Linked DNA regions of Callithrix jacchus. The protein of the gene in region 2 interacts with the protein of the main gene of each other region in a pairwise test. Links are inferred from orthologs where the notes say so. Each region holds a gene or a part of one and is shown on either strand. Other genes may lie near its edges.

Region 1 (7,964 bases), on a different chromosome or scaffold from region 2:
CGGAGGGGTCCCCAGGTAGTGGGAAAACTGCTACAGCCAACTCCTCAGTGTGTCACTCAAGTCCCTCAGACAGCAGGCCGCAGCTTTCCTCCAGCACTGTGCTCCAATTATGTTATGGCTTTGTGTCTGCCTCCTTGACTCAACCCAAATGAACAGGAGCCATCTATCTCTGTATCTCTGCAATCACAGGCACAAAACAGGTGCTGTGTACCTGTTTTCTGACCTGAGAAGCCATTCTAAGAGGGTCTCAGGCTAGAGTTCTGTCCAGTATTCCATGCAGAGGCTGACAGGACTGCAAGGAAAAAAACACTTGAGATGCTCAAATAGCTTCTTGTTTTGCTTTGACTACCAATAATCACAGAGTGCAATAGAATAATGCTCAAATACATTAATATCTTACCTGATCCTTGGGTTCCTCTCTACTTTTAAAGCCTCAAACTTTCTCCCTCTCACAGATGAAAAAAGGAAGTATGAATACATTCCCTCCCTTGCTCTGTGGATCCATTCCTACAAGTAGTCAAGACTCCAAGCCTCCCCTCCGACTTGCTGGCAGTGCTTCGCCTCTCCCCACAGATGAGTGCAGGAACAATTCTGATGGACTTCGGACTCTCCCGACAGAGTCAATCCCTCCCTGTCACGTTGGAGTGGACTTGCTACCATATCATCAGCAGCCCCCTGACAAACTTCAAAGGGCAGGGGGCTTCTTAGGAAACAACCCTTTCCCTCCACCAGCTCAGAGAACTTGTTCCAGATAGATGCCAGGATCCTTGGAGGAGTATGGTGATTCTGGGGTGGAGCCTCTGGCCCTGGCCAACCAAAGAAGGCCTGAGCCACTCTTCCCCACAAATTGATTGGTGCAGGAGTGGGCATGTAAGCTGCACCCAGCCAATCAGCATAACCAAATCCCTTGCTCACCCTGGGGAGGGTCCTATAGTTGTTGCCAAAAAAGGCTCAGCCCTGTTCTCAAGAAGCTTACAACTGGTAAGGGCAACAGGCTTTCGTCTATCATTATACAAAATTTCATTTCAATAGTTGCAATTAGAACTGTGAAGGAAAAGAATACTCTCCCTAATTTTACTTGGTATTAAGATTTAAAAAAAAAATAACACTGCCTGAAGAAGTGTTATGGCCTCTGTATAACAGTGGCTGCAAACATTTGCCCATTATGTGAACCCATGTGACAAATTCATCAGAGGATTTTGCACTAGGGAGAAAAATTTCTGTTAGAGAAAGCACATCAGTTTGGACTGAAAGACAAAGAAAATTCATCAGCCAATTCCGCTGAGCTTTTTTGATGGGGCACCTGGAGGCTGAGAGCTAAAGTGATATTCAGGAACAGAGACTGCTACTTCTGTTCCTGGTGAATCCTGCTCCAAACTTCCTCTCTCTCTCTGATTCCTTGATTCCACTGTGCCAAGATGTCTGCTCCCAAAGATGTCAAAACTAAAGGGAAATTGCAAAATATATATATTTTTATAGAAGGGAAAGTAAGATTATAAAAAGTGTGTTTTATCCCGCCCCCCTCAAGTTCCACTAAGAACTTCCTGACTTCCAGTCCCAGGGTGGGGTTGTGCCCCACCCACCAGCCTGCCCTGCTTTCCTGGACCAAAACTTCCTAGCAGCTAAGCAGGGAATAAGGGCAGATAAACTAAACCAGCAAAGGAATCTGTTTCTGCTAGACTCAACTAACATGACCACCATGGGGAAAGTATCTAAACAAAATAAGAGCAAACTCTCTTAAAGAGCAACCTGGTGGCTTTGCCATTCGCTTTCAGCCACTCTATACACAGGACTCAGGGCCAAGCCCCTTACCATCATCATCTCATCCATTTCCCAAAGAAAGCAGCAGGAACTCTTACTCTCACATTTCACAGATGGGGAAGCTGAGGCTGGGAAAGATTATGTTATTTGCCAAAGCCACACACAACTAGTAAAAGCCACTGACAAGATTCCAGCACAGGCCATCAGATGCCAGGGGGCAGCATGTTTTGGCATCAGAGGCCCTGCCTGGGAATGAGAGCATGCAGAAAATCTCATTCGAGATGGGAACAAAACTCGGAAAATTGCTAGCATGCAGGGAGAGAGGAAGGTGTGATTTCCTGCTACAGACTTCAGAGTAAAAGCCACCCCAGGAGTGCCTGTGCAGCCCTCCATAGTAAAGGTCCAGTGGTTCCATTTATGCCAAAAGAGGCCACTGCTGCTTGGAGTATAAGGAAGTTTCCCATGACAAGGTTGGATGCGCCAGCCTTGGCTTAGCAGCACTAGGGCTGGACCCAACAAGTCTTTTTCACACAAAAAGCAGACAACAGGAGCAGGTAGAAGTTGGGGCTAAAATTCCCACAGCGCGGGGTCCAAAGACAGTAGATGCACTTTCCCCAGGCCCAGGTCTGCTAGTGCGGTCACCGGGGACTCGTTATCTTAACTTGCAACCCTGGGTGCACAGAGCTCACACACACACTGGAGAGGGGTTCCTGCTGTTGACGGTTGAAAGGAGGGTATGGAGTCCCTGGAACAGCACGACAGAGGGCAGGGGCCACCTGGCAGGGCCTGAACGCCGAGGCCTCCGTGAGCTTGGGTCGGGCAGGCTTCCCCTTTCGGAGGCTGGGGAAGGGGTCCTGGGTCTCTACGTTTCCAGGCCAAGCAGCCCTGGAGGCACGGACTAGCAGGACGCCAAGGCGGCGCGGGTCGTGGCCTCTCCCGCAGCAGCTGTTGGCGAGAACCAGGCAGGGAGGCGCCGCTGCTGACGGCACCTCATGAAACATTCAGGCCCGGCTGCCGCGCTGCCATCTCCCGGCACCTTGCTCCCGAAACTGTTGCTCTGGATCCCATGGCCGTCGGAAGGCAGGCTCGGCCGCTCCAGTTCCTGAGAGTGACAGGCCACAGCCAGACCTGCCCTGTGGTCCCATCCCAGAGTCCCAGCAGCAAGTAGGCTCAGACTGGGCACTTCAGAGTACCAAGAGTAAGTTCGGTCAATTGGTTTCCCCCACGAGACTTTGGGCACAGGGTTATCTGGCCGCGGGGCAACGCTGGGGAGCCCTGTGGCCCGAGGGTGGGCGAAGGGCAGGCTCCCAGTTCCCTTCCATCTAGCCCGTCTCCCAGTGGCAGCCAGGAACAGGCCTGCAGGGCCACAGGGGTGCAGGCGTCACCGTTCGCAAGCCCGGAGCAGGGTGGCCGCTGGGGGATGTGCAAGCACAGGGGTTGGACAAGGGGCCGCACAAGTGTCTGTCCTGAGAGGTCAGTCTCCCCTTTCCTCACCAGCCCAGGCCCTGAAGAGAGGGAAGGAGGCAATCCGCCAAGCAGGGCAGGTCGGATGGCACCCCCACACCCAAACACAGAAACCCTGGGGTCTGTCCGCCAACCTCCTGGGCTGCCACGCTCTGCGCAGGGACTCTCCCTGCCAACACGCAAAACCAGCTCCCTCCCGCAGGCTGAGCAGGAAGGAGAAAGGTCCAATCTCAAACCGTCCCCCGCAACTAGACCACCAGCCCCCGTCTAAACGGAAGTAGGGCCAGCCCTTCAAGAGTTAGGTGGGAAACTGAGCCCTGGGAAAGAAAGGGCGCCCGGGCCAGGCTGGGACCCGCTGCGGCTTCGCAGGCTGCCAGGCCCCTCCACGGAGGTCCGAGGGCGCGTTCCTCGGCCTCCAGACTCAGCTGCCAGCCGCGCGGACCCCAGCCCGCGCCCCGAGGGAGGCCGGGACCCCTAGGCGGCGGGACTGCGCGCCGCCCCTCCCCGCAGGTCCAGGCTAGCGCCTAGCTTCCCCTCCCCCCTTCCCGCCTCCCGGCGGGTGTCCCCGCCTTCCCCGCGGGCGACGGGCGGCGGCGGCGGGAGGAGCGGGCCGAGCTAAGGCAGCCCCGGCCTCGCGCTCTGGGATGTAGCGAACCAGCAGGGGCCGAAGGAACTGGCAAAGCCGGAGCCAGAGCCAGAGCCAGAGCTGGATCCCGGGCCCCAGCCGGAGCCGAAACCTGAGCCAGAGTCCGCGGCGGGCGAGCCCGGAGCAGACGAGCGGCAGACGCAGCGCTGCCCAGGTGGGGTAAGAGACGCTGGGCTAGGGGCACAGGGTCTCCGCGGTGGAGGGGAGCAGGGAGGTGGCGGCCGGCCGAGTCCTGCGCAGTTTGCTCCTGGCGTGTGTGGGTCCAGCCGGCGACACGCGACAGCGCAAGGCGCGGAAGGTCAGGAGCCTTCGAGGCAGGAGCCCGTGCGTGCGCCCAGGGCACAATCATAGCCGCCGTCACCTAACCGGTGGGATCAACCCTCCGCTTCGGCCCCGGGCACCCCAAGCGGGTAGCAGCCTCGGGGGCACGGGCCACGGCTCCGCAAAGGGCACAACCCCGTGGCAGCCCATAGCGGCGGCGCGGGAGGCAGGGCCTCCCGACCCCCAGGAGAAATGGGCAGGAGAGAGGGCCTCCCGCTGCTCCTCACTGCGTCCAGGGATGGAGGGCCCCACCACCCATGGAACTGCTGGCCCCTCTGCGTGGCCCGGGACTTCGGCCGTAGCTTCGCATCAAGAGGGTATTTTTCCTAAACGAAACCGCTTCATTCGTTCGTTCGTTCGTTCGTTCGGGCAGCAATGATAACGAAAAGCAGCAGACATCGGCCAGCGCCCTGGCTCTCTTCGCCCCGGACTCCGACGTCCCGCCTCAGCGCTCGGAGGTGCCCCCAGCCCACCGCGGCCTGCCCTCGCCGGCACAGGTCCGGCTTTTTCTTCCCATGAGAAAAACCCCAAATTCCCTTCTTAACGTCCAATAAAGACATTCCCGCGGCTTCTCCCGGGTTTGGTTGTTGACGCAGTTCCCGGAGCACGCAGCCGCTTCTCAAGAACCGGGTCTCGGACTTCTGAAATTGACCAGCTTCGTAAATTGGAGCCCATTCTCCCGCGGCAAAGGCAGGGCTCCAAAGCCAGGATGGCAGTCATGGGAACCCCAGGCTGAAATCCGGGTCCCAAGATTTTCCGATTTAGGAATTCCCTGAATCTACAACGAGTTAGTCCACTTTTCTGAAAAACTAAGACTTGTGTATTCTCTGGACATCGCTGTGACCTCTGAAAGCCACCAGGTCCAGAGGGAGGAAATCCCAGGTTGCTGTCCACTGAGGGAGGATTCAGGTCTAGGGTTCAGGTCTAGGGTAGTCAGGCCAAAAGCTACAGGCAACCGGGGCAGCACAGAAGACTTGCTGTCCCCGTGCCCTTTCATGGGGCTGCTTTGGGCTTCCCGCATCTCTGCCAAGGAAAGGAAAAGAGGTGGGCTGGGGCGCGGAGACCAGGCTGTCTGGACTATAGGATGCAGGGGCCTCCAGACAGACTCAGGGTGCTCTTCTCCCACCTAGCCGCTGGGAAGAGGAGGCTGTGGTGCATCATAACCCGCCCCTCTGCTCCCCAGTTGTGTGACCAGCTGCACCTCCTTCCTAGTCTTCTTCCCCACAGCTCAGCCATTCTCAGGATCTAGAAAACTTCTGTTGGAATTAGGTGAGAGGTGGGCCGGGAGAGCCTTCGTCCTACCAGCCGCTGGCCCACAGCACGGAGTCCTGAGTTCTGTAATCCCATCTGTGCCTCACTGGTGGCAGTCCTGCCCAAATACATCCTGGCTCTCCCAGGAACAGGCTGGGGATCCTCAATTGGCTGGAAGCCTCAGACTGGGGTCCCAGGAAGCCTAAAGGAGCCAGTGAGGTCTTTCCAGCCCCTACCTGAGCACCCTCCTCCCTGCTTATCCAGTAATTGCTGTAGTCAAAGGAACAAGAGCTTTTATTGGGGAGGGGGTGTTAGATTAGGCAGAAGAGGTAGGTGGTCTAGGCTGCACTACCAAAACTGGGTTTTCAAGTTTGAACCTCTCCACGGACTAAGAGGCTTAGGGCTGGAATGTCCCAGAGAGTCAAGGATAGCCCTGGTAGCAGGCCATGGCACATTCCTTCCTTTTTCTAAAATACCTTGATTCTCAGAGCAAGGATTAGAGCAGGGTGCCCCCAAGGGTAGGTAGAAGGATACCTCTCCATGAGAGCATCCTAACCACCCTTCCCCAATTACATTACTAAACCATTCTTGGACACAGGCTGTTTTTAGTGAGCCCGGCTTCAGGAAGGGTCCTCTTGGTGACTGCTTCAACTCCACAACAGCCCAGGCTCTTCTGTTCAGCCCAGCCAGGACCCTAAACTCCAAAGAATCACAGAATCATTGCTGACTTTGTGTGGCGAGGGATGGTGTGGGGAATAGGACACATGGTTCCAGCTCCACTAAACCCCTTTCCCTCCTCTCTTCGAGTCCCATCAGCAAGCGAGCTAGATGCTGAAGCAGCAGACAGAGTCCCATATTGGACATGGGAACTGAGGCACAGGGCAGATCAAGCCTTGATATTGAGGCAAACACAGGTCACACAGCACAGTTGGAGGAACACCAAGCCTCTTCTTACTCCTGAAAGAGTGCTGTCTTCTGTCCTGTGTATGTGATGTGTCTGTGAGTGTGCAAGAAGCCCCTGTCTTGACTGGGACAATGGCCAGTGAGAGAGTGTAGCCGGGGAAGAACAGAGAGCATGTCCAGGTCCCTTCCCCAGCCAATGCCCAGGATCAGGCCACAGCCTCCTCACTCCTTGATCACTCAGTGCTGCCCAGGCCAAGCGGGACACACTCCCCTAGCAGGCCTCACTAGCCCCATCCCCTCTTTGGGTCTCAGGTCCCCTGAGGATAGGGGCTTCACCTGAAACAGTCTGAGGGCTTTTCCATCCACACAGCAGGTAACGAGATTGCCAAATAAAGGGACTATTGTGCTTGCCTGGAGCTTGGCCAGAGGTTTGGGCCCAGAGGGGCACACAGCAGGTGCTCAATAACTGCATTAAATGCACCAGCAGTAAGGATACAGGCCCCAGACTAATCAGTGAGTGCTGCTGAGTCACAAAACAGTCCCCATCCAGGGACAGCCCAAAGAGTCACTTTGGTCCCTCCGGGAAATGAAGGGGCTGTGAGTCCCAGCCTCCTCTGGATGCCCACAGACAGACCATTCATTTCTAAGTCTCTGCTCAGAGATGCACTGTGCTTCCCACCTTGGCCTGACATGTGGTGGGTTAGAACACACCTCCTATCCCCTACCAGCCAGCGTTCATGCCAAGTAGCACATATATGCCTCAACTCAGCACTTCCATAATGCAGTGAGTGCATGTGTGTGCAGAGCATGCTGGCATGGATGTACAGGACGTGTGTGTATGTGCGCGCACGCGTGCGTGCCCCCATGCTGTATGCATGCAGGCTGTTCTATGCGGTAAGACAGCTAAAGGGAGAATGGTGTGTGAAGGGACACTCCCGAGCATGCTGCGGCACCTGAATATCTCCTTGAAAGGAGGGATCTTCTGCTGCAGGAGACTTAGCCAAGAAATGTGGTAAAGGTGGAGCTGAGGGCAAATGCTGTGCAACTGTGCTTCTCCATGTCCCCCTCCCCGTGGCCAGGACTCGTTTCATGGAGGGAGATCTCAGCTTGGAAGAAGGCAGGAGCCTCCCCAACCAAACTCCTGGGAAGTGTCCTCCCTCCGGCCTCAGACCCTGCCTCCTGTGGTCACAGATGCACAGTGAGAAAGGGTCAGGCCCTAAGGAGCTGCTGTCTCTCCCTGCCCCACAGTTGGGGGGCAAGGGGGGCTGGGGCTAACATGGAGGGAATGGAAGGCAGGCCTCGTTCCACACTGTGTGCCTGCCCCTGACCCCAGCATCCCTCACAAGAGCTCAACCTGACCCTGGGTGTCTCCCTGTGATGGGAAGGGGTAAAGCGAGGACTCAAAGGCAGAGCCTGCAGAGTGCCCCAGAGGCTGATACCTGCACCGTCAGTGCCACCCACCCAGGAGGTGAGGAGGCACTGGGTTTTGGGGTGAGGACACTGGACACCTCCCTGGAGAGCAAGGCAGTGCTTCTTTCCCAGGCTGACAATCTCCCTGGTGCTGCTCCCTTGGGTTGCTGTGTCTGGTGGAGCTGGTCACAGGTGAGGGGCAGAGGGC
Region 2 (6,198 bases):
TCATCTCCATCCCCATTTACATATGTGCAACTGAAGTGCAGAAAACTAAGACTGTTAGGGGCAGAGGTGACAGGATGCCCTGCTGGCTGCTTCCTAGGCCTGGTGTCTTCCCCACACATCACACAGCTGTCTGAATTTCCCTCCCTACAGGCGACTGACAATCTGTACACAGTATGAAGCTGGGGGTGTGGGTGGTGATGGGGAGAGGTGATACCTGAGGGGAGACCTGCGCCTACCTCAGGGGCTTATGGACAGATGGATTGTTCTTTTCCAAGGCTGCAAGGTGGAGTCCATCTACCTGAATGTGGGGGCCGTGAACACACACCGGGAGAAGCCTGAGGTAGGTGGAGGACTCCGCTGCCCAAGCTGGCTGTGGACACAGCACATGGTGAAAGCACCTTCTCCACAGAAAGCCTGTCCCAACCCCACCGAGCCTGGGTGTTTTGCACCAACAGGCAGAGCAACCAGCACCCAGAAATGCAGGAACCACAGCCCAGCCCTCAGGCACATGGAGATGGCGGGCTGGGCAATTCCTGCCAAAAAGGCCTCAGGCTGAGATATCCACAAGGCCTACCTGAGGGTCAGGATCCAGGCCTGGCTAAAAGAGGGGAGCCTGGCAGTGAGGACAAGAGGCAGGGGAGGGGCTGGGACCCTACCCTGCTGTCTCCTTCCTTTTAATCCTGTGCTCTCTCCTCAGAATGTGGACATCACCCGGGACCCTGAGGAAGCAGCGGACACCATCCCTACCCACTACCAAACCCTTCCCAAGTGCGCAGATTGCCTTTGCTCTTTTTTCTGCCCCAGGAGCTCCTGTCTCCACCCTTGTCCACATGTCCGGATACCACCAAGCGCCTAAGGAAGTTATGGCCTAGGCCTAATTTTGTGCTCAGTGAGAGAGCCTTGCTTCCAGCATAGACCTTGGCAGCTCAAGCCAAGTTCCTGCTCAGTCACAGTCAAAGGCTGCCTAGCTCTGCATGGAGCTTTGTCTTACTCTGTACTTCTTGTTCCTGAAGGAACAAAGGCTTCTCTTTCTCCCTGCAGGAGAGAAGAAGCCATTGTAAGGCCTCCTTCACTGTCCATAAGACTCTGTCTCTATGATGTGGCCCTGGTCCTCTGTGGGCGGGAGATTGTGAGGGCCTCCTAGAGGACAGGCTCCTGGGCAGCATTTCCAGAGATGGGGAGGAGTACCTGGGAGCCCATCCCTTTATGAGCAATGTGGCTAGGGGTATATCTTCCTTCTCACAGAGGAGACTCTGGCATCTAACTCACGGTGTTCTCTATTCCTACTCCTGCCACTCTCCTGCAGTTATTTCACTTTCCACGTGGGTTGTATAAACACCACCCTGGAATCACAGGCCAGGTACCCTTTATCTCCAGAACAGTCACCTTCTGACCCTTCAACTACCTACTCTCTGGACCTTATCATCCAGATAAGGCTCTGGACTCCAGGAGTTTTGTCTCCTCTGTGTTCTTAAATGCAACTGTCTGAGCACCTATGCCCTCTCTCACTATTACCCTTCTCACAGTGCACTCCGGGACACCTAGCAGCATATGTATCACATGAGAGTCACTGAAGTCATATTTATTGAATAAACTATACTAGTTCTTGGGTCTCGTTGTGTTCATTAATCCCGCCTTTGTATCCCAATCCATTAGCTGGATCTATCCTCATTTCCACCTGCTGAAAGCTGATCTACCCTTCAAACTAGAGCTAAGGTCCTGTCTCTCCTACATGTTGCCTGCTCCCCAAATGTAGGGAAAAAAAAGAAACAGGAGGCACATCTAATTCACTTTGCAATTTCAATGTTTATTTCTGATACCAAAACTTGACAGCACACAAGGGGAAAAAAAGCAATAGACAAGGAACAGCAAATAAATTTATCTTGCATGCCACTTTCAGTCAGTAGGATGTGGCTCTCTAGATAGCTGTGTTTAGAAGGAATCCGAGGATTCAGCCTCACTCAGGGGAAACGCTATTGCGATTGATAGCAATATCTGTGAACATAAGAAAGAAAAAGTAAAAAAATCAATGATATATATCAAATAATAAGAAGTATACATACCAAAGAGTGCTGCCCCATACTTTCCTCATCTCCCCACAATGAGTTTCCTAAGACTTCTAGCTCATACACATAAATACAATCCCATGGACCCCTTGTCCCCCAGAGACCCTAACTGCCCAATCCAAAGTGATATACATACCCAGCATCTCACTCAACCCAGAAGAAACCAATGGCACCAAAGTTGGCAGCAAAGTTGGCACTGGCTGTACCACCAGGACCAATAATGGGACCGGCAAAGGTCTGAGGAAATCTGGAGCGGGCATTCTGGTGGTATCTGGCCCAGAAGGTAAATGGAATTCTGGACCAGGGATCTCCAAAATCTCCTTCTTCATCCCAGGTCAGTAGCTCAAACTCAATGTCATCCCAGCTCCAGGGCCCAGACACAGCCTCATCTCCAATTCCCATGCGGGTTCTTGCTTCAGCCCGGGCTTCAGCCTCAGCTGCAGCAGCATCCAGAGCATCCAAGGCCTCATCTGCAGCCTCCATGAACTGTGCAGTCCAGTCACGAGGGTCTCTTTTCTGAACCTGAGATGAAGAATAGAAAATAAAACAAAATCTATTTACAACAGCCAAGATATAGAATCAACCTACATGTCCATCAATGGATAAAGGAAATGTGATACATACACACAATGGAATACTTATTCAGCCTTTAAAAAGAAGGAAATCCTGCCATTTGCAATAACATGAATGATACTGAATGACATTATGCTAAGTGAAATAAGCCAGTCACAGAAAGACAAATACTGGATGATCTCACTTATACATGGAATCCAGAAAGGTCTAACTCATAGAAGCAGAGAGTAGAATGGTAGTTTCCAGGGCCTTGGGTCAGGAAGGATGGGGAGATATTGGTTAAAAGGTACAAAGTTTCAGTTAGATAGGAAGAATATGTTCTGGAGATTTACTGTATAGCATGATGACTATAGTTAATAATAATGTGTTGTACATTTAAAATTGCTAAGAGAGTACATCTTACATGTTCTCATCACAAAAAAAGTCAAGTATATGAGGCAATGGAGAATTAACTAGCTTGATGTAATCATTCCACAATGTACATGTATTATGACAACATCATGTTGCACCCTATAAATATGCATACTTTTGATTAGTCAATTAAAAAATGAATGGGCTGGGTGCAGTGGCTCACGCCTGTAATCCCAACACTTCGGGAGGCTGAGGCAGGCAGATCACTTGAGGTCAGGAATTCGAGAGCAGCCTGGCCAACACGGCAAAACCCTGTCTCTACTAAAAAAAAATTTAAAATTAGCTGGGCATGGTGGTGACATGCACCTGTAATCCCAGATACTTGGGAGGCTGAGGCACAAGAATCACTCAAACCCGAGAGACAGAGGTTACAGTGAGCCAAGATCGCACCCTTGCACTCCAGGCTGGGCAACACAGCAAAACTCCATCTTGGGAAAAATAAAAATAAATGAATGAAAAAACAAAATACTTAAAAATCACATTGTACACCATAAATATATACAATTTTTGTCAATTGTACTTTAGTAAAGTTGAGGAAAAGTAGAAATACTTTAAAAACCTAGAAAAAAAAACCCAAATTCAAAACTGTATTAGCTAATATATTAACATATTTTAGCACCTAATACATGTTAAGTTTATGTAACAGCAACAACAAATACCACCAGTAATGTGGCACCTACCACGTGCCATACCTAGGATCTCATCCCTGCCCTGGGCCTTCCCTAGCCAGCGATACTTCATCCCTTGACCTATCAATGCGGGAACAGTTCCTCCATTACCTCTGCAATGAATCTCAGCACTTTCATCTTGCTAGTCTCATGGTAGGAACGGAGGCCCCAGAGGAACTCATACTCAGGAGGGTTGCTGTTGGGCACTCGTCTGTAGTCTAGGTATCTGAAAGAGCAAAACAGTCTTTGTGTCTACCTACACAGACAGAATGGTAGTCCGCTAATGAAAAATAATCCTACATTTTTTAACATCAGATTTCAGATAGCGACTGCCCCTCAGGCTCATTCCTGAACACCATCAGGATATTTGCCCCTTAATCATCAAGCCTTGAATTCCTGCACTAGTATACTAAGCACTCTCATAGAGCTGCAGGTGAGGCTTGTGTAGAGTCACAGAAAGGACATTTTATTTCACAACTTCTGCCTCAGCATTAGCTCCAGATTCTTGTAATCTTGTCAGTGATCCACAGAGGTCCAATGAAATGATTACAATGCAGTGCAAAGGATTCCCTGGCCCAGCTGTGGGAATGCCTACTTTGAGGATGGTGGATGGGCCAGGTGTGGTGGCTCATGCCTGTAATCCCAGCACTTTGGGAGGCCGAGGTGGGTAGATCACTTGAGGTCAGGAGTTTGAAACCAGCCTGGCCAACATGGTGAAACCCCATCTCTACCAAAAATATAAAAACAGCCGAGTATTGTGGCACAGGGCTGTGGTCCCAGCTACTTGGGGGCCTGAGGCACCAGAATCACTTGAACCTGGGAGGTGGAGGTTCAAGAGAGCTGAGATTGTGCCACTGCATTCCAGCCTGGGTGATAGAGCGAGACTCAGTCTCAAAAAAAAAAAAAAAGAATTCAACCATGAAGAGTATATGCAATAAATACTTCTGAGGACATATGTGTTTCTGTACACACAGAAACACATATGCATAGGTATAGTGTAAGAAATGAGCTTGAGAAGGGTTTTCTTTTTTTTGAGACAGGGTCTCACTCTGTTGCCCAGGTTGGAGTGCAGTGACACAATCATGGCTCAATGCAACCTCAGCTTCCTGGGTTCAGATGATTCTCCCCCACTTCAGCTTCCCAAGTATCTGGGACTACAGGTGCATGTCACCATGCCTGGCTAATTTTTGTATTTTTTGTAGAGATGGGGTTGCGTTATGTTGCCCAGGCTGGTCTTGAACTCCTGGGCTCAAACAATCTGCCCACCTAAGCCTCCCAAAGTGCTGGGATTACAGGCATGAGCCACTATATCCAGCCAGGAAGGGCTTTCTAAGGCTGACCAGAACAGAGGCAGAATCATAAGGAGCAGGAAAAGCCCCTTAGGCATCACTTACTTCTGCTTTACAAACTCGTAGGTGAGAAGTTTCCTTAGATCTCCAAGTAAGGGATGTCTCACCCTGAAAGTAAAAAAAGGAAACCTGTAATCAGAGGCTATGACCGTGCCCAAAGAGCTTTCCAGAACAGAGGTCAGAGATGAGAAAACAGGCAGAGAGTTCAGAACTGTTTCCCCATCCACCCAGGTCACATCCTTGGGCTCTGAATATCCCCAAACCAAACTCTCCAGATCCCCAGGTTAATGCAATCCTGGGACCATCCTCTGTTGCCAAAGGATGGTACAAACAGGCACGAGATGAGAGAGCCCAATCATACCCAGGACGCAGTCCCATCTTGCGTAGTGCCTCCCAGAGGACAGCTGCAATGGGAGGCAAGGGGAGACAAGGGACGGAAAATGAGCATGGAAATCAGGCTGTGGCCAACCCCCAGCTGCAGGTCCAGCCACTCACCCTCACTGGCACGGTTGCCATTCATGAAGATGACACCCAGAATCACCAAGAGGAGACCGAGCTTGGGTGTGTCTTTGGTCCTATAGGAATACAGAAATATGTTTTCCGCAGCCATTTGCATGAGAGACCCCAACCAGCTTGCCCATCTAGCCTCCCCAATAACCCTCAGGTAGGGGAGAATTATACCCCAGCTCTGCCCATGACCCGCTATGTGACCCTTAACCTTGGACCCTGACCTATGTGAAACTCCCGGAAAAAAAGCACCACTGAGAAAGGCCATGTTCCACCTCCTTTCCCATCTTACGTTCCCAGTATGCCAGCCAGGGACTCGGGGGTACTGATGAGAATATACAGGTGCTCTTCCTTGTCAATTTCTTTCAGCTGAATCCCAAATTTCTACGGGGCAAGAAAACAGATTATGAAATTACAACATCTAGCATGAGCTACCCACAGGCTGACACTCACCTCCCTGAGACTTGCCCTAAACTTCCAGTAGGAACCCCATGAATCTGAAATCAAGGCTTTCCCCATTATTCTTGTCCCCCAGGACTGCCTTCTCACCTTCTCTAGGACAAAGCATGCACGTTCAATGATTTCTGGATAAACATCAGTGTATTCACGGATGATATCTCTCAG

The links.
Region 1: the proteins of melanoma-associated antigen D1 (region 2) and PITX1 interact in binary tests that used the Homo sapiens proteins (3 or more experiments, as listed by UniProt). The link is inferred for Callithrix jacchus from reciprocal best matches to the Homo sapiens genes MAGED1 and PITX1.

Annotation. Positions count from the first base shown.
Region 1 is NC_133503.1:33,465,233-33,473,196, reverse strand, and holds the start of PITX1 (pituitary homeobox 1), read left to right. Parts: upstream 1-3,867; 5' UTR 3,868-4,030; intron 4,031-7,964. UniProt on the Homo sapiens protein: Sequence-specific transcription factor that binds gene promoters and activates their transcription. May play a role in the development of anterior structures, and in particular, the brain and facies and in specifying the identity or structure of hindlimb.
Region 2 is NC_133524.1:52,174,538-52,180,735, reverse strand, and holds the end of melanoma-associated antigen D1, read right to left. Parts: coding exon 6,124-6,198; intron 5,959-6,123; coding exon 5,867-5,958; intron 5,643-5,866; coding exon 5,563-5,642; intron 5,472-5,562; coding exon 5,429-5,471; intron 5,176-5,428; coding exon 5,113-5,175; intron 3,945-5,112; coding exon 3,830-3,944; intron 2,589-3,829; coding exon 2,211-2,588; 3' UTR 2,203-2,210; intron 1,996-2,202; 3' UTR 1,787-1,995; downstream 1-1,786. UniProt on the Homo sapiens protein: Involved in the apoptotic response after nerve growth factor (NGF) binding in neuronal cells. Inhibits cell cycle progression, and facilitates NGFR-mediated apoptosis. May act as a regulator of the function of DLX family members.